Xenopus tropicalis: one gene and its partners. The protein of the gene in region 2 interacts with the protein of the main gene of each other region in a pairwise test. Links are inferred from orthologs where the notes say so. Each region holds a gene or a part of one and is shown on either strand. Other genes may lie near its edges. The genes, in order: eif4enif1, dtx2, alkbh4, abhd16a, stx12, sec22a and arnt2.

What was found.
Region 1: the proteins of dtx2 (region 2) and eif4enif1 interact in binary tests that used the Homo sapiens proteins (3 or more experiments, as listed by UniProt). The two-hybrid records come from large-scale screens. The link is inferred for Xenopus tropicalis from reciprocal best matches to the Homo sapiens genes DTX2 and EIF4ENIF1.
Region 3: the proteins of dtx2 (region 2) and alkbh4 interact in binary tests that used the Homo sapiens proteins (3 or more experiments, as listed by UniProt). The two-hybrid records come from large-scale screens. The link is inferred for Xenopus tropicalis from reciprocal best matches to the Homo sapiens genes DTX2 and ALKBH4.
Region 4: the proteins of dtx2 (region 2) and abhd16a interact in binary tests that used the Homo sapiens proteins (3 or more experiments, as listed by UniProt). The two-hybrid records come from large-scale screens. The link is inferred for Xenopus tropicalis from reciprocal best matches to the Homo sapiens genes DTX2 and ABHD16A.
Region 5: the proteins of dtx2 (region 2) and stx12 interact in binary tests that used the Homo sapiens proteins (3 or more experiments, as listed by UniProt). The two-hybrid records come from large-scale screens. The link is inferred for Xenopus tropicalis from reciprocal best matches to the Homo sapiens genes DTX2 and STX12.
Region 6: the proteins of dtx2 (region 2) and sec22a interact in binary tests that used the Homo sapiens proteins (3 or more experiments, as listed by UniProt). The two-hybrid records come from large-scale screens. The link is inferred for Xenopus tropicalis from reciprocal best matches to the Homo sapiens genes DTX2 and SEC22A.
Region 7: the proteins of dtx2 (region 2) and arnt2 interact in binary tests that used the Homo sapiens proteins (3 or more experiments, as listed by UniProt). The link is inferred for Xenopus tropicalis from reciprocal best matches to the Homo sapiens genes DTX2 and ARNT2.

Annotation. Positions count from the first base shown.
Region 1 is NC_030677.2:152,099,751-152,103,250, forward strand, and holds part of eif4enif1 (eukaryotic translation initiation factor 4E transporter), read right to left. Parts: coding exon 3,436-3,500; intron 1,297-3,435; coding exon 1,101-1,296; intron 1-1,100. UniProt on the Homo sapiens protein: EIF4E-binding protein that regulates translation and stability of mRNAs in processing bodies (P-bodies). Plays a key role in P-bodies to coordinate the storage of translationally inactive mRNAs in the cytoplasm and prevent their degradation.
Region 2 is NC_030678.2:94,403,247-94,406,746, forward strand, and holds part of dtx2 (probable E3 ubiquitin-protein ligase DTX2), read left to right. Parts: intron 1-2,122; 5' UTR 2,123-2,229; coding exon 2,230-2,527; intron 2,528-3,500. UniProt on the Homo sapiens protein: Regulator of Notch signaling, a signaling pathway involved in cell-cell communications that regulates a broad spectrum of cell-fate determinations.
Region 3 is NC_030678.2:46,224,180-46,228,378, forward strand, and holds the start of alkbh4 (alpha-ketoglutarate-dependent dioxygenase alkB homolog 4), read left to right. Parts: upstream 1-1,399; 5' UTR 1,400-1,418; coding exon 1,419-1,526; intron 1,527-2,508; exon of another isoform or gene 2,509-3,658; coding exon of another isoform or gene 3,659-3,673; intron 3,674-3,991; coding exon 3,992-4,171; intron 4,172-4,199. Other genes in the region: lrwd1 (leucine-rich repeat and WD repeat-containing protein 1), read right to left, coding at 1-59. UniProt on the Homo sapiens protein: Dioxygenase that mediates demethylation of actin monomethylated at 'Lys-84' (K84me1), thereby acting as a regulator of actomyosin-processes.
Region 4 is NC_030684.2:74,883,371-74,886,870, forward strand, and holds part of abhd16a (protein ABHD16A), read left to right. Parts: intron 1-67; coding exon 68-190; intron 191-1,068; coding exon 1,069-1,183; intron 1,184-1,338; coding exon 1,339-1,440; intron 1,441-1,665; coding exon 1,666-1,729; intron 1,730-2,775; coding exon 2,776-2,825; intron 2,826-3,500. UniProt on the Homo sapiens protein: Phosphatidylserine (PS) lipase that mediates the hydrolysis of phosphatidylserine to generate lysophosphatidylserine (LPS). LPS constitutes a class of signaling lipids that regulates immunological and neurological processes.
Region 5 is NC_030678.2:83,639,054-83,643,110, reverse strand, and holds the start of stx12 (syntaxin-12), read left to right. Parts: upstream 1-1,257; 5' UTR 1,258-1,278; coding exon 1,279-1,372; intron 1,373-4,057. UniProt on the Homo sapiens protein: SNARE promoting fusion of transport vesicles with target membranes. Together with SNARE STX6, promotes movement of vesicles from endosomes to the cell membrane, and may therefore function in the endocytic recycling pathway.
Region 6 is NC_030685.2:88,971,108-88,975,308, forward strand, and holds the start of sec22a (vesicle-trafficking protein SEC22a), read left to right. Parts: upstream 1-1,401; 5' UTR 1,402-1,487; exon of another isoform or gene 1,488-1,499; intron 1,500-4,201. UniProt on the Homo sapiens protein: May be involved in vesicle transport between the ER and the Golgi complex.
Region 7 is NC_030679.2:108,902,130-108,905,629, reverse strand, and holds part of arnt2 (aryl hydrocarbon receptor nuclear translocator 2), read left to right. Parts: intron 1-225; coding exon 226-300; intron 301-1,599; coding exon 1,600-1,751; intron 1,752-2,477; coding exon 2,478-2,550; intron 2,551-2,644; coding exon 2,645-2,771; intron 2,772-3,500. UniProt on the Homo sapiens protein: Transcription factor that plays a role in the development of the hypothalamo-pituitary axis, postnatal brain growth, and visual and renal function. Specifically recognizes the xenobiotic response element (XRE).

The DNA of each region.
Region 1 (3,500 bases), on a different chromosome or scaffold from region 2:
CCTTGGGCTGGTACAGAAGCCCAAAACAATGTGCAACATTTCTGCCCTACTTCTTTAGTTAAGCTTTAATTCTCGTTTAAGTTTGCATGTTTTCATTAAGACCCATGTTCCTTTATCCTACCTGGGCATGGCCTGTTCTGAGTTGTGCACTTGCCTCATACAATAACATGAAGTCTTAAAGACACTAATTTGTAATAGTTTAACTCCCAATACCAATGTCTGTGCAATCTGGAGATTGTTGACATTGTTGTAACACAGAACAGATTGCCATTAGTCTACCTGTTGTTCCTGTCACAATAAAACACCTGAATTACTTTTCTTATGTTCAAAAAGTTATTTGTATCTATAAGTGCACTTAATGCTTTAAAGGAACAGTACTACCAGAAAATGAAAACATTTGAATTATAATATAATGTACTGCTGCCCTTCACTGGTAAAAGTTGTATGTTTGCTTCAGAAACACTACTATAGTTTATATAAATAAGCTGCTGTTTAGCTATGGGGGCAAATGCACAAATGGGAATCTGCTCATCCAATATGTTATTTGCTATGTAACCTGTGACTTTTCTCCTTTTTTCATTTTAAGTGCTACCTCCATGACTACACAGCCACTTTGTTTATATAAACTACAGCAGAGTTTCACACAACTTTTACTAGTGCAGGGCAATAGCACATAAATTACAGGTATGGGATCCCTTATCCGAAAACCTGTAATCCAAAAAGTTATGGAAATTTGGAATATGGAAAAGTTATGCAACTTATGGAAAGGCCATCTCCCATATACTTCATTATAAGCAAATAATTCTAAATTTTAAAAAAGGATTTCCTTTTTCTCTGTAATAATAAAACAGTACCTTGTACTTGATCTTAAGATTCAATTGAAAATTCCAGATTGAACCTAAACTAACTCCTGTAACCACTGTTGTCAGATTCCAAAAACTCAATGGTGAAGGCATGACAACACAGTAGGGGTAAAGGGGAAAAGAAAAAAGGCTCAATATACTTTATTGCATGAACTCTCACCTTCTCATGTGTAATGGCCAAACAAGATATGCGGTAAAAACACCAACCCACTGCAATTTAAGTCAGATTCCACTTGCCTTCCTTTCCTGTCCGCTTTCTTGTCCTCTTGCGGCCCTTGTGATCCTCTTCCAGGATTTTATCATCAAAGCCAGTAAGCTCAATTGTCTCCGACTGGCTAGTGGGACCCCCAGAGAACCACTCTGGTTCCTCCTCTGTACAAGAGTCATTTCTACGTCTCTCACCAAATACACGTTTACTGTCTCCATGCTCTCGCTATGGCAGAGAAGACAGAGGGGGGGGGGGGGGGAGGAAAAAAAATAAAAACATTTAGAGAAGCTAAAAACAACAAGTTAACAAGTCTGGCACATATCAAGCCTTAATTTCAGTTTAATAAACTAAATGGATTTAAAATATGAATCACTGCATTTGCCCTCCTCCTAAAGGTCATTAAGGATATGACCAAACCTTCAGGTCTGCCAACCTTGTCAACATTGGTTAGTAAAATGAAGTTGCACCTTTAGTTTTAGACTTCAAAAATGTATAGTTGGATGGCATAATGGTTACAGATTAAAAGGACAAGTCAACCAAGAATATAATTTGCCTAATAAAAGAAAAAACATTCCAAGAAACTTTGTACTTATATATATATATATATATATATCTGGCATTTGAAACAATGTCACACACACACACAAGGCAGCAGATTGACAGAACTGACTAGGAGGAGCCTGACCTATGCAACATTGTGTAAAAAGTAACCAGGAGTTCAGCAAATGCTGCTTTCAATAGCAATTACATTTACAAATAACTTTTAAAAGCACAGAAAATTTTTAATAAAATCATTGTAAAGTTGCTTAGAATTATATTCTTTTATTAGGCAAAAAATTATATTCTTGGTTGACATGTCCTTTAAAGCATTTTGCACAAACACTGATCCACAGAATGACAACTACAAAATATTTTATAAATGCTTTTCTAACATTTCCGACAATATGCTTTTTGAGGGTGGTTTTAACAAAAAGGCTTGTGGGAAAACCATAGGCACAAGTTTTAATACACGGTTTACAGGACATTTAGTACAGGTGCTCGATATAGATATATATTTGGGGGAAGACCTAATATACCAAAGTCCTCACTTAAATCTGAAATATGTTACAAGGCACATAAAGGCCATGTCAGAGTCTGAAGTTGGAGCTTTGCAAATCCCAGGTAACTGTATTAGAATAACACTGTCATCAAACCAAAAGGGTAATTTTAAGGTACACCACCACTCTTTAATGTGACATCACTCTTCCAGACCTCTTATGGGTTGTTAATCTATGTTGTGAGAGATGCAATGGACAACGATTATTTGTATTTCCACCAGTGTTAAAGGCGGGGTACAAGTAGCACCAGGTAAAAGGCCTGGTTTTGCAACAGGTAATACTGTGTTTAAGTTACTAGCTTAGAAAAAGCAAAATTAATAGGTCCCTGGAGTGAATGGAGGGAGAGCAGGAAAGACCTTCCATTCCAAACTCCAGTTAACGTTTTCATTTGGCCAGCTGTAGTGTAGCTGCCCGATTAGGCTGCAGGTGAGCAGCAAATAAAATGGCTGTGTGATTACACAGGGGGGTTGAGCAGGAGTGGGGCACAGGGCAGGAAGGCTGCCTGCCTGCGTAAGGAACTCCCAGAGGAGCTGGGGATGCCTCCTGCCACTGCGAGGAGCAGAGGAAGTCGTGACCAGATGGATGAGAGCTGGGAGGAGTCAGCAAGGCTTAAGGTGAAGCCTGAGCGTTCATGAGCGAGAGTTGCTGTGGATGTGTGAAAGTCACTGGGGACAGTGAGAAACCCCGTAAAGGTTCCAAAGTGTGGAAGTAACCTTGGAAGGTGAGAGCCCTGAAGAAGGGACAAATCATAACCCTGAACTGTTTTAGTTAGTTCTGTCTGTTTATTTAGGGCCAATTCTTCCCAACATCAACATGTGTTTTGCCTGAAGTTGCACCCCTTATGCTCCAAATCCTCTGCATGCCTGCCTACCATTGCTAATTCCCCAAAAATTATGTGTACAGGCAGTCAGCATGTCACATAGTATCATTTGTTTTAGAACAGGACTCAAGGTAAGGATATATAAAATAAAGGAAGTTTCCTTCTCTTAATTTCTTGATAAAGTCAACAGAACAGAGCACTAACTGGACAATGATTTTGTAAGAAACATTTATAGTCCTCGCAAACATCCAGTATTAAATCTAGCTGCCCTCCAGCACTTTTCAGCATACAACTAAAAATGATTGACTGCTATTTGGAGGAATTTTAGCTATCTTTATTAACAAATCAGTTTAATACACCTCATGTTAAAGTTACTTTAGATCAGGATGTAACATCAGCATTCCGTGATGCAAGGTTTACACACAAATCTTAAGACAGAAAACTTACCCTGAAGCGTTTGTCTTTGTATTCTTTTTCTCTGTCTCGCCCCTCTCTGGGTTCTCTATCGCCTC
Region 2 (3,500 bases):
TACAAGCAGTGTTTTTCACAGTAATTGCCTGCACTCACAGATGTGCTTGTGGGTCAGGCGTTTAACACTTGAAAACACCAACTAGTGCATTTGTGAGTGATAATCACATGACTCGTGAATGCACTCGTGAATAGGGGCAGATTATTACCTTAGAAGTTAATGGGAGAGTTGTGATTCAAAGTATTTTGTCATCCACTCGTTCAGTCGGAATATGCTTGCATGCTCTGTGTGCCATTACCCATAAAAATGTAATGTCGCAGTTACCATTTTGAACACAAACAAATGCATATGGGCTTATTAATACAGTGTGGTTGAGTGATGTATTTTTATACATTTCACCACTTCAGATATTTTTCTCATTGTTTTGTGCATTTGAGGTGTGGGTTTGAGCACCTAGTAATGTAATCATATGCTGGGAGTTAGTTTATTGGCCAGCCTTTTGTGAAATAGCTAAAGGTGTTTTTTTTGTTATCGAAATATAAAGTGTTTGAGGAATGTGCCTACATCATTTTGAATGATGCAACATGTACATTAGTGTTTATTACTGAACTGAGGGGATTTTTACCTTTATTGAGTTTCTGTTTTCATTCTGATTCTATTGAAGAGACCTGGCTAGCTTAAAGTGAAAATGAGTTTGCAAATTATTGGGAGGAAAATGGAACACGGTTTGCCTGGGGAGAATTGGCAGGGAGTGTTAGCTTTTGTTGAAGGTTAACACGCTTGGCAAGTAAGAGAGTGATGTATTTTAATTTAAAACCTTTATTTCCTGCAAAGGATAATGTGTCCAGTTTTTCTGTACTATGTCTTTAGTTCAGTTTGTCTGTACTATGTCTTCATTTAAAAAAAATAGTTCCCCATATGTAGCCCACAGCTGTGAAGTGTCTTTTTTTTTTTGTATTTACTTCCGCTGAGTTAGTAAGCTTCAGTTTTTATTAGAATAATATATAGGCCTGTTATTTTCCTCTTGGGGTTAGTGACCTCTTGTGTCTAGAATTTCCTTGGGGGAGGTTTTCATAAAGACAGTATAATTCCTCAGATAGGCTTGATATACTAAGTCAGAAACTAGAGAAAGGAGGTGTCCCTCTCTATCCCATTAGGGCTTTTACAGACAGTTTTTCTTGCGTTTCAATAATGTGGATTTTTCATGCATTCCATGGCAGGGGAATGCAGGAGTTAATGCATTCTGTTATTTTCAGAAAGTTTATACTTACTCTGCTGCAGGGAAGTTGCTGCCCTACGGCATTGAAAAGAACAGGCTGCGTTTCTTCATGCCAATCCTCGTGGTGGAATGCATGAAAGAACCACCACAAACAACCATGTAAAGAAATGCTCATCTGTTAAAGTCTCTCATCCTTCCACCTGAACAGGAGTTTTTAATCTTTTGCCTAACACACTTCATACATCACTACCTAAATCATAAGTAGGGTTAATGGGTGTTTCAAACCTTCACGATTGCATTACATACTTTATTACATGAAAGCTGTTGTTATAGTGGCTCTTACACATGGGTGTTTTCTCCTGAATTTGACTTTGAAACAAAGATTTGACCCATCTAAACACATCAGCTAATTAATTCCATTATAAGAAGACTTAAAACAGAATATCTCTTGTGGGGAGGGGGTGGAGGGGTGGCTAGAAATAGGGTAGGGCTTAGTTCTCCTTTAATAACAGTGGTGGCAAGCAGACTTGTACTGGTCAGCAAAATACCAATCCTTTTGCAAGCCTGCTCATTACCTTGTCTGTTATTAGAGCAAACCAAGTGTTTTGGGTGGATACATTTACAATATACTGCTACAGTGGATAGATTAATAGGATTTGCCTATTAACCTATTAAATATTTAATAAACATCTCTTCCAGCTCACAGATATCTGAGGCATATTATAAAGGAAGACTGTTTTCTGTAATATATAATGCACACATGGTATAGATCACTAACCATTTGTTTCTATAAAAATTGAAAAACTCTCTTCATGTTTTATATTGTTTGTATCTAGAGTTTTATTGGTGAGATGTCGCAGCAACTAATACATTGTTTATTTCCCAGTTAGTTTAAAAATGAATCCTATTTTTGTGCTACTTATCCATAATTATGTTTTTTTTTTTTTTTTTTATCTTTTTTAGGTTTGTACAATGGTGAACGAAAAAGGAGTTGCAACCCAAAGAAATTAGTTCTGAAAACCAAGAACAGTAAAAAAATATTTTTTGGATAATACGCTCATTCCTTTCAGATGGCAGCTGCTCCTCCACCAGGTGGTGGGGTTCCTAGTTTCTCAGGACTTCCTACGGTGTCTAATCAGTGGAATGCCTCTGTTGCTGTTTGGGAATGGCAAGATGAGCATAACAAATGGCGACCATACAGCAGTGCAGTGAGCAACTATATTGAACAATATATGGTGTCATATTCACAGCAGAAAGGTTTCCGAGCCTATGGAAACAGCAACAGCATATCTCTTGGAAAAGCTGATCCTAAACTGGCACCATACATTATTGATATTCCAACCCTTTCACAGTTTAGGCAAGATACAGGTAAGAGGCCAATCTTTTTTTCCAGTAGTAATACCAGGAGAAAAGGATATTTCATGGTGTATTTTATGGTATATTATATAATTGAAAAAGTCTGCCATAGCCCCAAGTATCAGTTTTATTATTTGCCAAACAAATAAGCTTTGTTTTAAAAGAATATTTTAAAAGAATAATTCTGAAGTGCCTATATCAGACATTTCCCTTTAGGGCAATGGCACATTTAGCGCTTTCTCACTTGTGTGAGATCATTTTGGTATGATTGCAAAAATGTTTGGAGATATTCCTAGATGTTGCTCCACTTGTTAAAAACAAATCAAATAAAATGGAAATTTCAGACATTTATATGCCAACTTTATACATATGATGTAATGGTGTAAAGAGGTTATCCCAAAAAGAGTTGTTTAGACTGAAAAGCTTTTTCCCTGCTTTTGCATTGTACATTAGGGGAAAATATGCCCTGTTTGCCATGGGTCTTTAGTGCAGTGCCACAATATGCCGCAATGCCCACCATAAATCTGTTATACAGCAGGCAAAAAAACAACCCTAGTTTCCTTCCTACCTGCTATAATGTAAATTGCATGTGGGGAATCATAAAATCATAAGAGATGCATATGTTTCCCCACCTGGGATTATTAGTGTTGGAAAAGCCTTTTCAGGAGATTAGTTGCCTTCCGTGGCTCCGATTTACCACAGATGACTAATCTAGTGTGCCATCACCCTTTTATAGCTAGTACCTCAAACATAGATAATGACAGGAACACAATTTTCCTCACCAAAGGAACAATATAAACAAATAAAGTATGAAGAAATGCATTCTGTATTATCCAAATCTTGTTGATCTATATTGGTTAACAGGTACCCTTTGATTACAATGCCAAATCAAATAATTTTCTTCTGAACTGGTCTAAGGCAAGTGTAGATTTTTAACCTTTTCAACCATGTTAATTCAACCAGGATTTCATCCTCCACAAAAGAA
Region 3 (4,199 bases), about 48 Mb from region 2:
AGATGAATGGATTTAGGAAGCCCTTCCTTCAGCAGGACGTCAGCAGTAATTTTGCTCATTTTGAATTACTGTTGCTTCTTCATACACCTATGTACTTGTCTTCTCTTCTCAGGTGTTAATATCTTTGTAAAGATTAAAAAGAATATGATGGGTAAGTGCATGTGTATTAGAGTAAAAAGGCCAGCTTTTTGTGTCAATCTTTGATTTTTTACTCTACTGCGCATGCACCTGCCTAGACTAAAATGGAAAAAAAGAAGGAAGAAGCCAAACAAGATGGTAACCATAAACTTCTACAAAAATACCCTGGACCAATGCTGCTTTTACCCAACATGAGCACTGGTCCCAGGTATCAGGTGATTATTATCAACGGGGATGGGGGGGGGGCAAACATTTTAGCACCTAGCCCAGTGTTTATACCTTTTGGTCTCCTTTAATTAAGGAATATCTATGATTTTTATTTCTTGCACAGAACAAAAAATAAAACAACTAGTAAAACAGATTACCAGTCAGCAGATAAGTCCTCTGCATAATGACCTGCCCTAATATCAAAGCCACAGTTGCAAGGATGTATCCTTCCCCACCAAAGCAAAACATCAAAAATAACACTTTTCCTAGAAGTGAGAGACACTTCTGTGCCTGTGATGCCTATGACTGTTTATGCCCATACAGTATTGATATGATAGTCACTTCTAGACACGGAGGAAAAAATCAATGGCTGTAAATGCCAGATAAATATATATTTTTAAAACTAAACTTAAAGACTACCTTTTGGAGCACTCACCCAGCACCTGATCTGGGAACTAGCACCTATATTGTAGTGTCACCCATTGTGACCTACAGCACTTATATTTGCCTATTTGTGTCTGTTAGTTACCCTCCCATATAGATTGTAAGCTCTACGGGGCAGGGACCTCCATCCTCTTGTGTCTTTGACTCTTAACTTATTGCAACTGTATTTATCTTGTATCTATCTGTATTTATTGTTGTACTTTGTATTTATCTATTATTATCTTAATAATCCCGTTTATATTAATGTATTCTACTGTACAGCGCTGCGTACATAAGTAGCGCTTTATAAATAAAGATATACAAGATATACATACAATTAGCTTTTATGTGTTTAAGCGACCAATCCTTTTGCTACTAGAATGTACCCAGAAAAGAGCATTGCCCTTTAAATAGCCCCACCACATATTGCAAAGTGAAGCCTATAATGCCGAATAGGCAAGTAATACAGCGCTAAATAGCGGGACACTTACTTCCTGCTGGCTTCCACTCCCGGGGAACTCTCATGCAGCGGCTACTTTTTCCTTCGAACTTCTATCTCCCGCTAGCATGACATCACTTCCGGGGTTGGTACTATTACCCGGAAGTTGCTAATAGATGCAATTGCTGTGTTTTAGTGTGTTTAGTCGCCTATGGCCGAGGTTGTTTGCGATGCCTGGAAGGGCTGTGGGTGTAAAGGGATCCGGTCCTGTTTATTGTGTGAGCGTGGGGCAACGGGGGCACCTAAGGGGCTTCATAAGGTACTTAGCAACTGGGGATGTGACCACGTTGTCCGACCTGCTTGCTTTGCGATGAGACGCCTCTGGCTATTGGTTGGTGGGAATAGTAACAAGGCAGCAGCAAGTTCGCCGTCAGTTGTCTTAATTAGATATTGGCTTATATAGGACAGTGAATTGCATCTTAGCAATATGTATGCTTTAAAAATGGTGGAGTTAATTTGTGATACAAATGCAATGTGTTTATCCCTTTCTGTACTCTGGCTGTGACTCTTGAAACATTGTAGCAGAAGTCAGGTTTGTTAATCAGCTGCCATGGCTACATTGTTTCAGAAGTGAGAACCAGCAGGTCAGCTCCACTGGGCCAGCTTTGGGTTAATCCTGCAAAGTTTAAACAATTCAGTTGTGGTAATTTGTTATAAAGGTAGTGCAACACAAGAAATAGCCACACTGCATTTATCAAAACACAATTGCATCCCCTTGGGCAGGTGAGGGCAAACAATTCAAGTGCTGAGAGTATATCAGTGTGGCACTTGTGTAGATAGTCATGTGGTACAGTTCATGGATGAAAATAATGTTAAACTGAAATTTAGTTTTACTTTTTCATTAAACCAGTTTAATTAAACCAATCACTCCAGTTAGTATACAATATGTACTTTGCAAATGTGCTTTAATTAAAATGTAGATTCTGTATGCACATCTATTCAAAAACATGGTGTTACTGAAACAACAATGCAGAGTAAATGCAGAGCTAGTCATGGATTCCCACCCCCTCCTATACAATAGAACTTTAAATGATCTCATTATAATAAAGCACAGAGAAAAAGCATCTGGAGATGTCTTCCTAGTGCAATATACATGTTTGGTTTCTTGATTCTCTGTGGTAGGTGGTATCAGGGTTGCCTTTGTTATCACTATGATCAGGGCAAAATAAAGCTTACTGCCCCTGAAATACATACCGACGACAAAGCAGGAGCAAAGCACCATGTTTTCTGCATCTTACCCACCTAGAATTCACATCCGGCCCCTGCAGGGGAAATTATTGAAATTAATTGCTTCTTGTCCAGAATGCACTGCTGCCTGGGCCCTGATGCACAATATACTGGAGGATAATTATTTGAACCTAGGAGTCCCTTAAACACCTTTACCTTGCACATAAAATAGATCTCATGGCCCCAGTGCTGCAAGGATGCATAAGGGAAGAGCACCAAGGGAGGAGTAGTTTAAGTACATTGGTCCCTTGTGCCCTGTAATTTGCACGTTGGGTTACATTTTCTATCCAGTGCAAAGTCACAAGTGCCTTAAAGTGCTTTGTCATCATGTTGCAGTAGCACATCGGCTATCCCAGACCCACTGTCTCCCCCAAAGAATATTAGGCTTATGTCAGGCTTTAGTACTACTGCCATGAGAGAGAAAATGCCCACTTCATTGGTCACTGCTTCCCATAGTAATGTATCAGAAATTGTTTGTTAGAATAGCACCAAATCCACAGTACAGCAAATGGTACTGGAGGGTCATTTTGTTACGGGTGCAATCAGCCATCATACTATGGAGAAATTTAATTTTTCTTGCCCTTCCTGTTGCACATTTATGGGTAGCTTAGGAAACTATGCACCTGGGTACTTCCTGGGTGTGGTTGAATATGCATAGAAAGCTTTGTACTGTGGTTTACAAATGAATGATTTGGGTAACAAATATATTCATGTGTAGTCTCTGACCAGTTTGGCTCCATGAAGTCTGGCTCATTGGTTCTTTTGAATAGAATATATCATTTTTCACCCCCTGTTGTGATTTTCACACTATTTTGGGACTAGCATTTTACTTCTTTGTTCTTTGTTGATAACTGCATTTACTGTCTATTGTTTGTATACCCTACACATAGGCAAACATACACTGGAAATGTGTGCAGTCTACAACCAGTCTTCATTATTATTCCAAATAATTCAATTATATTGCAGATCTTAACAGTCAAGGCACTTATTGTTACTGCTACTTTTGTCACCTGAGATTTTTCTGATATACGTCACTTTTCCAAGCAAATGTTATGGGAGACCTTGCATTCATAAAAAAAAACATATTCCATTGGTCTCCAAATCAGCCATGGATAGCACTTCTATAGATTCTGGCAGATACTGTTCTTATTGATTACTGGGGAAATGCTGAGCTCCTTGGTAAATATAGCAGGTCATACAGACACAGGCAAATGATCACTGGCATCACTGCCATATGCTTTAGAGTTTATATTTAATGTACTTTATGCTATTTAAGCAGCATACAAGGCTTGCTGTGGGCATATAACTTTCTGATAGTTTGTTTCTGTTTGGTCTTCTGTTGATATGTATGAGTAGATATTGCCATATTTGCTGCATCAGCTGTATGACCATGTAATATACACCTTCATATTTTATTCATGGGAAACAAATGGATATTAAGGCAAAATTAACCACTGAGTTATTGTTACCTCTTAACATATTTTGTTTATTCTGCAGAAATTACCTTTCATATACAGTCCATTAGAAGGCATAGCAAAGGGACTTGATGGCTGCTGGTTTCATTTCCCAGGTGTGTATCTGATACAAGACTTTGTGACGGAGGATGAGGAACAACACTTGGTAAATTTTATGGATCAAGAAGAGTGGCGGCTTTCGCAGTCTGGACGAAGGAAGCAGGTAAAATATTTTGCACATACTGGACGTT
Region 4 (3,500 bases), on a different chromosome or scaffold from region 2:
AGCACAGTAACAGAATTTATCCAAAGCGCATATTAAGGGCCCCCTAATATGATTTTTATGTCTACAGCAAAGATCTTAAAAGCACAGGCCCACTTGGGGGAGTTCCTTTACTCAAGCCAGATCCTCGTCCACGTGGGACTACAGACAATGTGTTACAGAGGATTCAAAAATTACCATGTCAGATTACCAGGTAACAGCTTTGCCATTCTTCTAATTAATATGGCACAAAGGAAATCAAATTCTACTATAAAAAGTGTGTGTATGTATATATTTATATAATATATAGTACACAGGGAGGAGCACACCCTATACAAGTCCAAATGCCCTTGGTGCAGGTCAAAAACAAATATATAATAGAAACCAGAGTGGTTTGTCCCTGAGGAAGAGCACTGGTTGTGCTTGAAACGTTGGAATTTTTTCAATAAAAACACTTTTTTCTTTTGTATCAAGTCCCTGTGTGTGAGCGATTTCTTTCTATTTAGATATACATACATATATCTATACATAAGTATTCAGCCAAACACGGAGTGATTTATTAGTTAAGTATATAACAGCTGACAGGGTTCATGTGCCTCCATCCTTTTATATTTTGGTTCTGTACAAATGGAATTACCAAGGAGGGTTTGTAAATAGTTTTTTATATTGGTATAATTCAGGACTGAGATAATAGAGGCCACTCTTTTTTTATTCTGGATTGACCCTTGATACATGCATGTGCACATACAAAGCCAGGCCAACTTATGACCTGTTTAGGTAGTTTAGACACTTGTTTGATGTAACCAGTATTAATCAGCTAAAAACCAGAATGATGTCATAGGGAGACAAAACATTGTCTTATAATGAATTGTTAAGCTATATGTTGGATATAATAACAGTTCTTGGAAACATTAGAAATATTTAGTGACCATATGCAATTTACATCCTTTGAGGAATGCACAGTATAGTATGGAATTCTATGTGCAAATGCTTCTTCTTGTAGTTTTGGTTTCTGCATATGTTTCTTGCTTGATTCAGAGTAGGTAAGTAATCTAATAAATGCAATATTTTAATTATCCCCTTTCCTCTCAGTTATGCAGTAGCTCACTCATTTGGCAGGCGTATGTTGTACCCTGGCTCAGTATACCTATTACAGAAGGCTCTCATGCCCATGTTGTTGCAAGGGCAGGCCCGTCTAGTGGAGGAGGTGAGAGACTACTTTGTATAGCCACTTTCTTTCCATTCCAAATTCTATTTGTGTCATTTTGCCTTTTTACATATGTGCTCCACACAGGTGTGTCTCACATTATCCATGTAACAACCACTACATGGTCATATTTACTCCTTTATCCCTCTTTTTAGTATAATGGAAGGCGAGCCAAGCTGCTGGCATGTGATGGGAATGAGATAGATACAATATTTGTAGACCGCAGGCACTTAGGAGACAACAAAGGAGCTAAGCTGGTAAGAGTTGTTTGTGCTTGCCCAATACCAATGTATATTTCACTTTCTGTTTTAACAATCTCCTACCCAAAAGACTAAGGAGCCCTGGGCATTTTGATAACCAGTTTATATTGATTCCCAGCATTTTTCCCATACTTTTCCTGGGACAAGTAGCCAAAATCAAAACTCCCTTAGTCACACAGTCCTTCTTATGTTTCCAATTTAATATTTGGTTTTTTTATTAAGGTTATATGCTGCGAGGGGAATGCTGGATTCTATGAAATCGGCTGTGTCTCCACACCACTGGAAGGTCAGATTTAAGTTTCTAGTCAAGTATAACATTTACGTTTATTGAATTAGTATGATTTAGATTAAATGCAACTGTTGTTCGTATAATAGGGGAGAGTGTTAGTTCAGAAGATGTTGGCAGAATCATAAACTAATTATTATTGTGCTTGCAAGTACTGGATAGTTCAAATCAGCTCCATCTGACAGAGCAGTCCCTAATACTGCACAAGATTTCTTAAATGTATGCCAGCCTCTCTCCTCCTTATAGCAGGTACTTTTTGCTTACTGATAAGTCTCTTTCTTGTAGGCCTGTAATATTTTCTCCATGTTCAGACATGGTGAGAGGGGTGCAGTGAGCATGGAGGGAGGAGTAAAGATTTTGATTGCTTTGTCCTGACTAAACACACAAGGACTGCTCCTATCTATCTGCACTGTCATCACAGCCTTACAAGAAAAGGATTTGTCTGTAAGTTTACAATCTTACCTTTATTTTGCTATAGCACACATTTAACTGCGTTTGCAGCAATAGTGACTTTCACCGTTGACATTCTTTTCTTTAGTATGTTTGCAAACCTAGCAATCTATGCATTCTCTTCGCAAGCTAATTTTCTTATGTATTTTATTTCTTATGATGAAAGCCATAGCAGAGTACTTACAAATGCTTAAAATAATGAAATATAATTTGTCAGAACTGTATTATATATGCAATTTTCTATATAAATGCTTATATAATGCTTATATATGCTTAACTTGTAATGGCATACTAGCACCAAGATAAAAAAATACTTATTCTAGAGATGCTTGCTCTCTTAAAAGCCGACAGAGAACAATGAAGGGCTGCACTGTTTAACCTAGATAACCACAGCCAACTGCTCAGCACTGGCAAATGCTATCCTACTGTCTGACCTTTTGTTAGTATATTTTAGGAATTTAAAGCTAAATAACCTATAGTATGTTTGTTTGCTTTTTGTATAGTTGATTGGCACAATTTTTAACAGAGAAATTGTTGCTGCAGCATATGAATATGGGCCTGCCTTTTTTGTAATGCTTGGTTTCACTGTTTTGCAGCTGGCTATTCAGTCCTTGGCTGGAATCATCCTGGATTTGCTGGTAGTACAGTAAGTTATGTAATTACTTTGAATCCATACATTTTAAATTGTGAAAAGTAAACAATAACAGGTTGCTAAGTCAGGTTACTTCACTCAAAGGCTCAGCAAGCTAATTCTGGTTATTAGCAAACCAGTTCAGATTATATTAGTTGAATGTTGTGGTGCCCTAGGCATGCCACACTCTTCTACCAAATTGGTGCATGCCTAACACAGTCTATACACAAGTAATTATTGGTTAGGAGTGGGGTTCCCCCACTATCCCTGAGCTCCACTGCCAGCACTGAGCTAAAAAGAATGCTGTTGACCTGGGCCTTCAGGTGCCTGTACAGAACATTCACCCTGATGGTGGATACAGTTTACTGGAATTGTAGCATAGACTGAAAACATGCTTTTGATGAAAAATATGCCTAATGTAGAAGCCTAAAAATATAATGTGAACATTTGGTTATACAGATCATTATACAGATGGGGTTTCATGTGTTCTGCACAAATACATATAGTTCTCAAGGGATTAAAAAAATCATTGTTTTTATAATTATGTTTTATTGGGCGAAAACATTGTTTTTTTGGAGAGTCTGTATTACAGTATTTGGGTGTATAGCATAAAGAGTGGAGGTAATGGAGGTGGTTTGCACCAGTAGATTAGTTGATAGCATAGATGTATGTGTAATCTAGTGATTTATG
Region 5 (4,057 bases), about 11 Mb from region 2:
AGAAGATTATTTCACCGAGCACTGCACAACAGTACCCCTCTCCCCCTGACGGTGGCTCTGAAAGAGAGGATGATAATGGGATGGGAAAGAGGAGAGCAGTTAAGGGGTCTTTTTTTAAAAATTCCTGGCGCACCTCTGCTAATTCAAACTACCGTATTTCTACCTCCCACACACACAATACTTTCTTAAAGATGATTCAAAATGCAGTGACGCAAAGATTTTTGCGTGGCACAATACTCATCACTTGCCTCTGTAAGAACAGTAATCCCTAACCAGTGGCTTGTGAGCAACATAGTGCTCGCTAACCCTAGATGTCTCTCCAGGGGGTCTTAAAGCAGGTGCTTGTTTTTTAATTTTTGGCTTGAAGGCAATTTTTAGTTGCATAAAAACCAGGTGTACTGCCAAACAGAGCCTCCTGTATGCTGCCAGTCCTCATAGGGGCTACCAAATAACCAATCACAGTTCTTATCTAGCAACCCCCAGAAACATCCATACATAAAACGCTGCTATCCACTGGCACTGATGGACTTACCAAACTGCCCTCCCTCAGCATTCAGAGTTCCCAAGAAGTCCAACAGATATTACACATCGCCATGTCCAGACTGGGAGTCAAAATAGGCCCTGGCATTTCAAGTACACAAGAGGTCCAAACAGCCCTCTACCAGCCCAATAAATATTAACTGTCTATAACATCTTACAGCAGCTCCTCTGGCATTTGCCAGAACCCATAGATTGCCAGTCCCAGCCTACACATCACTCATATATAATTCCTGTATATATCACCTTGCCCTTTAACAGCAGCCTTGAACATACATATCACACACTATGCTTCAACTGCTTACCTGTTGTACAGGTAAACAACATTTTACTAAAGATCACAATACTTGTCCCCCATGTGCACCCAGCATATTTCTCATCTCCCTCCATTAAATCCAAGTACTAGGGGTGTAGGGAAAAAAAAATAATTAGACCCAGCAATTGCTCCAGGACCTGGGATATTAAGTACCCCATCCTCCAAAGGCGCACTTGCTGATTTTTATAAACCAGCAGAATTCTACATTTGCATTCCTTGTTCTCTTTAAAGGAGTGGCAACAACAGCATCTTTTCCAAGCTGTCACGTGGTATCATGACTGGGAGGCGCTTATCGCTGATAGGAGCCTGACAATTCCTACGTGACATCACGGTCACATGGCTATGACATCACGACTTCCTTAGAGTCGCTTCATCCCACCATCTCTTATACTCAGAAAGGAGGACGGGGCCCTAAGAGGAGCAACATGTCTGGGTACATGAAGCAGCAGAGCCGTGCCCGGGACTTCAACAGCATTATTCAGACCTGCAGCGGCAATGTGCAGAGGATCACAAATAACAGTCAGTATCCCCAGTTTTTCTACAGAGCACCGGTCCTATTCCTGTATATATATCCGTGATCGCAGCGAGCTGCACACACCCGCAGTATATAGATGGGGGTACTGGTGGAGATTTGAAGGACGAATTGTTAGCCATTGGCAATGGGAACTTTTGGACAACAGAGATTAACATGTTATATGGGCCCCTTGTATTATGTGTAATTCCCAGGTGCTACACACCCACTGATGTACAGGAAGGGCGGCTATACTGACACAGCTGGAAATAGAGAAAATTATTTATATAGCATTGCATATATGGAGACTGGACAGTTGGCAAATGACAAAAATCAACTAATGTTTCCTTGTGTTGGTTGGTGGGTGGGTGTACAGTACAGCAGCTATCAGCTGGCATGTTCATTGGCAGAGGGGCACAGAGAAGCAGGGGTGACAGGCAGGAAGGGAGCTAAGTGCAGTGGGAAGTCATTTCCTACTGGAGATTCCTGATTGGGTTACTGTTACCAAGAAGTTACTACTGTTAGGCTTGTCACCTGGTTGGGCTCTTGCTGTGGTTAAACTACACATTACAATATTATCCTAAAGGCAGCATTTGTAGAAATGTAGTTCAGCAACCAGTGAAATCAGGCTGAGCAGTTTTACCCTCGCTTACTGAATTTGTGTTGAGTGGGTTACATTCCTGCCTTACTCCATGGGGGTTTTTTGTTCCCCCCTAACTGCCTGATCACTGCTTTGCAAGCTCAGAGAAAATTTTGGGCGTGGGCACAAGCAGGATTCACCAGGTCAGGCAGGGGCCATGAAATTGTAATATTTCCTTCCTCCCAGCATGACAGCAGGATAGGAGTTCATAATGTGTGATTTATCATGTTGAATGAATGAGACTTGGCAGGAAATATGTATTTTCTTGTATATCATTATGTATTAGATTCACAGTATTGACTTCTGCCAATCATTACATACCCCCAGAAGTAAGTAAATAAATAAATATGGAGTCTTGGTACTACTGGCCTCTGTTCTTCAAGTCTATGTGTAGTTTCATTCTTAAACAAGTGTTCAGCTCTTAATTAAAGGATGCCATGGAATAGTAGTAAATACGTCATAAGAGCAATTTGTCACTCCCTCTATTTGGACTAGACATAAGACATTTACTATCCAAACATACCCATTCCTTAACCATCTTAAAGGGGCATCTTTAACAAAATTACACTTTGCCTGTTGGTCATGTTAGGTTTAGTAAAGTAAAGGAATTTGGGGGGAAAATACCTTACATTTTTACTTGTTAAAAATCCTATGTTTCCGCTTCCATTTGAAAGTGAAATCACATGATTAATGTCCTTAGTCTAAGAAGGCAGCAGTCAGTCCTGTCTTGCTTTATAGCTGAGAATCTAGTTATCTTTATAACAGAACATTCATTGTACTGTGATTCAAGCAGGCTTGGACTGACATGGTATTTTTTTTTAAAAAGGTTTTTTTGAGATGATAGTATCTTAATTATATTCAGTATTTTTAATGAGAAGTGGTAAATGTGCACTCCATGTGAGAGCCTCTAATTAAAAGTGGATATAGCAAGGACGTAATTCATGTAATGAGATTTTTTGTTCATTGTTCACTATGCTGCTGTTTTTCTTTTTGTAATTATAGACTAGCACAGTGCAGTGTTTACAGGAAAATTGCTGCTGTCCTACAAATGACTGTTATTGTATGTTTTGGAATGGCCCAGTTATTCTGCACTGATAACAGCACACTGCTGAGATCTGATAACTGTGTTTTCAGCTTCTCGGTATGCTGTCAAGGTGTGTTGTTGTGTCATACTGATATAAGGTGCACTGTTGTCATGAAGTGCGGTACAGGTTGAAGTTACATAGTCTTTTTCAGATAGGTAATGTTTTATTGGGCATGTTCAGCAAATATAATTTATACAGAGACTTTACAGGTTTTCACAGGAATTTGTTGGTGAAAAAGGTTCCTTCCATAACCTAAAGCTTTAACACTGAAGCCTGGCATCCCCCTACCCCCTTTACTTACCTGTGGCACTTGTCTAGTCAAGGTTGATTTAAACAGTACTTCCAGCCTTGTCGGGTCAGTACCACACCCAAAGCCCAACATCTTCAAAACAGCAGCCATTTCTAAAAAAGAAGTTGAAGTCTGGTACAGGTAAATAAAGAAGGTGCAATATTTTAGTTGTAACTCATTAGAGATGGCCTAGAAAAGGAATATCAATAATAAATATAAATTTCTATTAAAAAAAAAAAAAAACACAGGTACAGGTATGCGACCTATTATCCAGAATGCTAGGGACCTGAGATTTTATGGATAAGGGATCTTTCTGTAATTTGGATCTCCATAGCTTAAGTCTACTAAAAGATTATTTAAAAATTAACCTCAATAAGCTTGTTTTGCTACCAATAAGGATTAATTTTATCTTAGTTGGAATCAAGTTCAAGTAACTGTTCTGTTATTACAGAGAAAAAGGACATTTAAAAAAAATATTAGAATTATAGGCTTATAATGGAGTCAGTGGGAGTCGGAACTTCCTGGATAAGGGGTTTCCTGATAACAGATCCCATACCTGTACAGGTTTGGGATCAGTTATCTGGAAGACTTCAGACCTGGGGTTTTCCGGATAAGAAGTCTTCCCATGATACTGATCTCAGTACCTTTTTTAAATTTGTTAAAAGGAAAAAAATAATCT
Region 6 (4,201 bases), on a different chromosome or scaffold from region 2:
TGCCAATTCCATGTATAATACCCCAGAACCCACAGCAGGATAAATACAGTGCCAATTCCATGTTATAATACCCCAGAACCCACAGCGGGATAAATACAGTGCCAATTCCGATGTATAATACCCCCAGAACCCACAGCGGGATAAATACAGTGCCAATTCCATGTATAATCCACCCACAGGAATAATACGGCCATCATGTAACCCCGACCACAGCAGATAAATACAGTGCCAATTCCATGTTAATACCCCAGAACCCACAGGCGGGATAAATACAGTGCCAATTCCATGTATAATACCCCAGAACCCACAGCGGAATAATACAGTGCCAATTCCCATGTATAAATACCCCAGAACCACAGCAGATAAATACCAGTGCCAATTCCATGTATAATACCCCAGAACCCACAGCGATAAATACAGTGCCAATTCCATGTATAATACCCCAGAACCCACAGCAGATAAATACAGTGCCAATTCCAATGTATAATACCCCAGAACCCACAGCAGATAAATACAGTGCCAATTCCATGTATAATACCCCAGAAACCCACAGCAGGATAAATACAGTGCCAATTCTCATGTATAATACCCCAGAACCCACAGCAGATAAATACAGTGCCAATTCCATGTATAATACCCCAGAACCCACAGCAGATAAATACAGTGGCAATTTCCATGTATAATACCCCAGAACCCACAGCAGGATAAATACAGTGCCAATTCCATGTATAATACCCCAGAACCCACAGCAGATAAATACAGTGCCAATTCCATGTATAATAGGTGCAGTGGATGAAAAGGATGTAATACACAGAGAAAAATGTTAATGGAAATAAAGTTACAGAAAGTAAGAAACAATTTGGATAAGGGCACAATAAAAACATAAAGGGAGGTGGGTTCTATGAGGAGAGGTAAGTACAATAAATCAGGCAGTTCCACCCTTTACAGGCAGTTGCTATGGCTTATAAAGGTGCGCTCCCTAGTGACAGTATCTGGTACTGCAGCTCCTAAATCCTGTTTCCAGTCAGCAAAACTCACACAATATGGGGCAGAAATGTCAGACAATTATGAGAAACCATTGCAGCTGCCTGTAGGAGACTGTTGGCCCCGGCCTGAGGAGAAAGATACCGCCATGCAGTTGGTCAGGCCAAGCCATAGCCGGAGGCTCAAAGCCCTGTCACAGGGAGAGACAAAGGAAATTAGTAGCGGTCATGTGACGTGTAGGCGGGGCAGCCATTGGGCAGGTACGGGAGGGGCGGGGCTAGCAAGGGTCAGCGTTAGACTGGGCGTTCCCGCTAGCTACCTGCAGACCCCGCCTCCGTTACCATGGCACCCCGAGAAGCATGGCTGCCCGCACTGAGGTTCCAGGATGCAGCGCGAAGGACACGTCACGTAGGCGGAGCCGGGCCTGTGGGACTGAAGCTGCTGTGAGCCCGGGGGTCCGACCTGAGAGGCCGGGGCCTCGGGAAGCGAAGAACGGAGCGGAGGTAGGTAAGTAGATGAGTGTATATAGGGGGGTGTGTATAGGAATGTATTTCTGTGTGCATGTGGGGGTACAGATATCACTATAGGATCTGTATAGACCCCCACAGACATATCCCTCTATCCCCCCCATACGCGCCTATCCCTGGGCCTCTATCCCCCCCATACGCGCCTATCCCTGGGCCTCTATCCCCCCATACGCGCCTATCCTGGGCCTCTATCCCCCCCATAACGCGCCTATCCCTGGGCCTCTATCCCCCCCACTACGCGCCTATCCCTGGGCCTCTATCCCCCCCATACGCGCCTATCCCTGGGCCTCTATCCCCCCCATACGCGCCTATCCCTGGGCCTCTATCCCCCCCATACGCGCCTATCCCTGGGCCTCTATCCCCCCCATACGCGCCTATCCCTGGGCCTCTATCCCCCCATACGCGCCTATCCCTGGGCCTCTATCCCCCCATACGCGCCTATCCCTGGGCCTCTATCCCCCCCATACGCGCCTATCCCTGGGCCTCTATCCCCCCCATACGCGCCTATCCCTGGGCCTCTATCCCCCCGCATACGCGCCTATCCCTGGGCCTCTATCCCCCCTCATACGCGCCTATCCCTGGGCCTCTATCCCCCCATACGCGCCTATCCCTGGGCCTCTATCCCCCCCATACGCGCCTATCCTGGGCCTCTATCCCCCCATACGCGCCTATCCCTGGGCCTCTATCCCCCCGCCCTATCCTGAGGCTCTATCCCCCCCCATACGCGCCTATCCCTGGGCCTCTATCCCCCCATACGCGCCTATCCTGGCCTTATCCCCCCCAACGCGCCTATCCCTGGGCCTCTATCCCCCCCAATACGCGCCTATCCCTGGGCTTATCCCCCCATACGCGCCTATCCCTGGGCCTCTATCCCCCCCATACGCGCCTATCCCTGGGCCTATATCCCCCCATACGCGCCTATCCCTGGGCCTCTATCCCCCCCATACGCGCCTATCCCTGGGCCTCTATCCCCCCATACGCGCCTATCCCTGGGCCTCTATCCCCCCATACGCGCCTATCCCTGGGCCTCTATCCCCCCCATACGCGCCTATCCCTGGGCTCTAATCCCCCCCATACGCGCCTATCCCTGGGGCCTCTATCCCCCCCATACGCGCCTATCCCTGGGCCTCTATCCCCCCCCATACGCGCCTATCCCTGGGCCTCTATCCCCCCATACGCGCCTATCCTGAGGCCTCTATCCCCCCCATACGCGCCTATCCCTGGCTCTATCCCCCCCATACGCGCCTATCCCTGGGCCCTATCCCCCCCATACGCGCCTATCCCTGGGCCTCTATCCCCCCCATACGCGCCTATCCCTGGGCCTCTATCCCCCCATACGCGCCTATCCCTGGGCCTCTATCCCCCCCCATACGCGCCTATCCCTGGGCTATATCCCCCCATACAGCGCCTATCCCTGGGCCTCTATCCCCCCCATACGCGCCTATCCCTGGGCCTCTATCCCCCCATACGCGCCTATCCCTGGGCCTCTATCCCCCACCGCCCCCGGCCATACCGCCCCGCCTATCCCTGGGCCTCTATCCCCCCCACGCGCCTATCCCTGGGCCTCTATCCCCCCCACACGCGCCTATCCCTGGGCCTATATCCCCCCCCCCATACGCGCCTATCCCTGGGCCTCTATCCCCCCCACACGCGCCTATCCCTGGGCCTATATCCCCTCAACAAGTGCCTATTGCTGAGCCTATATCCCCCCCCCATACATACACATAGACGCCCCCACTGAGCTTCACATACTTGCACAGTTGCCATAGATGTAGTATGTTGGTAGGGGTAAGTGTATGTGTAGGGGTATCGGGCTGGGGCTGTTTATGTGCATGAGAGGTATATAGGGTCTGATCCAGAAGTGGGAAGTGAGAGGTTCAGGGAACCCAGAAAGATTTCAGACACAACTGGCAGTGATATTTACTGTGAGGCAAAGAAAGGAAGAGCCACAGGCAACTAAATGCCAGGCTTCCCTGTCCCCTCCTCAGGGTCGGCACTAGGAACGGGCAAAACCTGCCTAGGGTGTAACAGTGGGGGGGCGGTGGGCAGGGCACCTCTTATTTTACCTACCCCTAGTTCCGGGCCCTTTCCTCCAACTGTATCACCCCCCAACAGTTCTGCCCCCCATGTGTGAGCAACAAGCTGGGTTGCCTAGGGTCCCTGCCTGCACCTGGGGGCAGATACACGGGGCAGATTCTTGCCCAATAATGCCTGTTCACTCATTTCGGGCTGGAATCTGCTCTGTGTGTTTGCACCCCAGCCGAGGCAAAGACTCTGGGGCAGACCAAAAAGGAGGTAGGTGCCCGCGTGGGGGGGGGGCTGCCTGGGGTCACTCAGTACAACAGAAACAAACTTGGGCCTCAGGTTTGTAGTGATCTGTACAATTCCTTCATGTGTGGGGGGGGATTGTGTGAGACCCTGCCAGCTGATTGCTAGCCTGAGGATCAAGAGCTCTGCTTATTCATGTTGCCTTTAGTTACCCTTTAATTCATTAGTATGATTAAAGGGTAACTAAAGCTATGATCTGCTGTCTCTGCCCGTGTAATGGCATCTGTGCCAACTGTGCAGGGCTGGAGCTCAGGTGAGTGGGTATTTATAGCAGACCTACTATAGGGTGGGCATGGGTACCCACCGGTTGTACAGCTCCCAGCTCGCCATTGGAAACCCGAGGTTGCAGGGAGTTGCAGCTC
Region 7 (3,500 bases), on a different chromosome or scaffold from region 2:
TCTGTCCTGAGCATTCCAAAATATTGTATTATTTTAGATATAATGTAGAATGAGTGTAGACTAACCAAAAGATTCTGCTGTTTTTTGGGAGATCCTTAATACAGGCCTAGGTAGGCAGGGTTTGGATGCACGGGTGGTGAATAATTCCCCTGTAATTTCCCTAAGATTAGGAATTAGGACAAAATCATACTACATTACAAAAGGCAACTTTTATGCATCTTCCAGGACCTTCTTGGAAAAGATATCATTGAATTTTGTCATCCAGAAGACCAGAGCCACCTCCGTGAAAGTTTCCAACAGGTACTATTTCTTCTGCCAGAAAAAAATGTGTGACATTAAGGGTTGTACTTGGCCAGGTTACCTCAGTGTTTCCCAATTTAAAATTTCTTGTCAAAAACATATGCTACCACACTTCAAAGATATCTTTAGTTCAATACAATCCCACTGCTCGTGGTGGAGTATACCATATAATGACCACATAAGAAAAAGAACCCTTTTCAATGTGCTTAGATATTTTTTGAACTTTTCTTGGTAGCTGCACCACATTTACCGGTTTGTAGTTGTATTGTGCCCCCTTAAGACTTTGCTTCTAACACAAACAAACTCACCATATCCTATCTCTACATACACTAAACTATATCTCCTTTTTTACATGTTTATGGCCTCATTTTAAGCTTTTTATAAACTGGTAACCCATTTGCATTCTAATTTGATTTGAAAGGGCATATTCCTATAATTTCCCTTTTAAAGGGTGTGCGTAACCAAGGGCAGTTAATTAGCCAGTTCTAAGCAATATGTTTAGGGTTCTGCAAATGCAAGTGAACTGTTGCAGTTGCAAGGTGGCATTGTACTGTCAAAATGAATGCAATTGTTATTGCAATTCATTGCGAATCATACAGAATTGTGCCAGGGTCCGGTTGGTACCATTTTGGGGGTTCGCTGTGTGACTGACTTGTGTGCCATATTCTTTAGCCACACGTTTGCTGTGCCCTTCAATGCAGGGTGTTCAGGGAGCCCTGGAGCTACCACTTAGTCTGGAGGTGGCAGTAACCCCACAGTTCCTCTGCGTCGATAAGTGCAACTGTGCTTGTTCGGAATGGAAGGCAGAAAGGACTGAGCATTTTGGTGCAAGTGCCTTTAATAAATGGGGTTTTACGTGCAGGACTGCAACTGTGACTGCACTTGCAGTCATAAATGACTCTCTTTTTCCATTTATGAGCTTACATAATGGTAAGTTGTTAACTTTGGGAAAAAAAATTCTGTTTATAACATTTGGCCATTAATATCCTTTTTCCTTGACTCCTTCACATTACACTTTTTACTGTCCTGTTACAGAGGCTTTGCTATAGGCCATACATATATATTATTAGAAAAAGCACTTTGTTCCATACTGGCTCTTGCTTTTGATGGTATAGTCAGCAAAAGTTTCTCTCTGTAATCTCTTTTTTCATTTCTTGTTAATGCATTGTGATTTATTATATTTGATATAATTGTACAGTGCTGCATAACTTGCAGGTACTATATACATACACTATAATGATACTGTATGTATTTCTAAACACTTCTCTTACTAATACTTCTGTGTTTTCTGGTTATCAGGTGGTTAAATTAAAAGGCCAGGTATTATCAGTGATGTACCGATTCCACACTAAGACTCGGGACTGGATGCTCCTTCGTACCAGCAGTTTCACTTTCCAGAACCCATATTCGGATGAGATTGAGTATATTATTTGTACCAACACTAATGTCAAGTAAGCAAGCAAAAAGTATCACCTAGGCAGTTTTATGCATATTCACCTAAGAATCTTTCACATGGTCTTTACTGGGTTTTTGAATTATTGGGGCTCCTTTTCTGCCTATTTTCAGCCTGCAAATGAGAATGCTATTGTTTCAGTCACTGACCCCAGCAACCAGAATAATGTTATTCCTATTTATATTTTTAATTTCTTGCCCTTTTTTCTGGTCCTCTCCTATTGATCTTCCATTCTGACTTCTAAACTACTACTTGATTACCAAGGTAACTGAGCCCTAGCAACCATACAGCAGCTGAATTTCAAGGCCTAGTAGTTGCAGAACCATACATCTTTCAAAACCATAAAAAATGACTAATTCCAAATTGTTTTAGAATACTGCTGTTTACATCATATTAAAAATCAGTTTAAGTTGAACTGCTTTTTTTTTTAATATTGGTCCAAAGCTTGAGATTCACTTCCAAAACAAATAGCAGTTGATCCTTTTTCAGGTCATCACTGATAGGAAAGCATGATTTGTAAATACAAGTATTCCTACCTGAACGAATCATTACAGGGCTTTCTGGGTGCAGATACTTTTATTTCAGTCTTTATTCATATAGTATATGATTATTTGGTTATATAAGAGCACAGATGCTACACTCAGGGAGGGCTTGCTCTTTATGCCTTCAGTGACACATGATCCTATGCCCTACAGTATTTCTGCAGCTGTTTCTGTGTTCCTAGGCAGGTTCAACAGCAGCAGGCTGAACTCGAAGTTCATCCAAGGGATAGTTTATCCTCCTATGACTTGTCGCAGGTGGGTATTGCAGGAGTATTCTACCCAACGTGGCATCTTGCTGTGTGTTGTTGCAGCTTATGTTCTTGTGTCTAACATCTGACTTTCTTGACAGGTGCCTGTTCCTAACCTTGCAGCAAATGTGCACGAAGGTGGAAAATCTGTTGTTGATAAGCCAGATCCAATCTTCTCCCAGGATCGTGATCCTCGTTTTGCTGAGATGTTTGCTGGAATAACTGCCTGTAATTTTAATGTTATTATGTTCCATCACATTAACATCTCAGGCTCTTTATAGGCAAAGCACCTTTATTCATATCCCAGTCCCCCTTGTTGCCTTGGTGTATTTCATGGGGTATCTGGGTTCACCATTACCAAGCCCTTAATTAGCTTGGTTCTACTTCCAACTAATGCATTAAAATTCCAAAATGGAATTACGTGTTCTCTGATATCTACAGAGTTCAGATCAGGACAGGTCAGAGCAGTGAGCTGAGTTAATGAACCCCAGGGAGCCTCGGTATGTGTTTTCAATAACGCTTTAGGTATGTTTGTAAATGGAGCAAACGGTGGGGTCAAATGCAGATTCTTCCACTAAAAGGAATTTTATTCTAACAAATGAAAAGTATTTTCTAGTCTGCCTGTCGCCACAAGGGTATAGTTATTGGGGGTAAAAAGTGCCTGCATGTCATATATTAGACAGGACGTCTTCTGCGGCTCCAGTGTTGTAATCTAAGCAGAGAATTTTTTTTTCTGTACCTTTTGAACTTAGAGAATGTGGATTATTGTCCTAGGCTATAGCAAACTGAAATGTAAAGCATCATTAGGGGGGGCAGGGGAATTCTTCTCTACACACTAGTCAGACATGTAACTGCAATAGTGGCTTATTGTTTACTGTGGTATAGCCTGATGGCACTTCCAGTTCCCTTACCACAGCAAATTCTGGCCACTTTACTAGATACCCTCTCTGTTTCTAA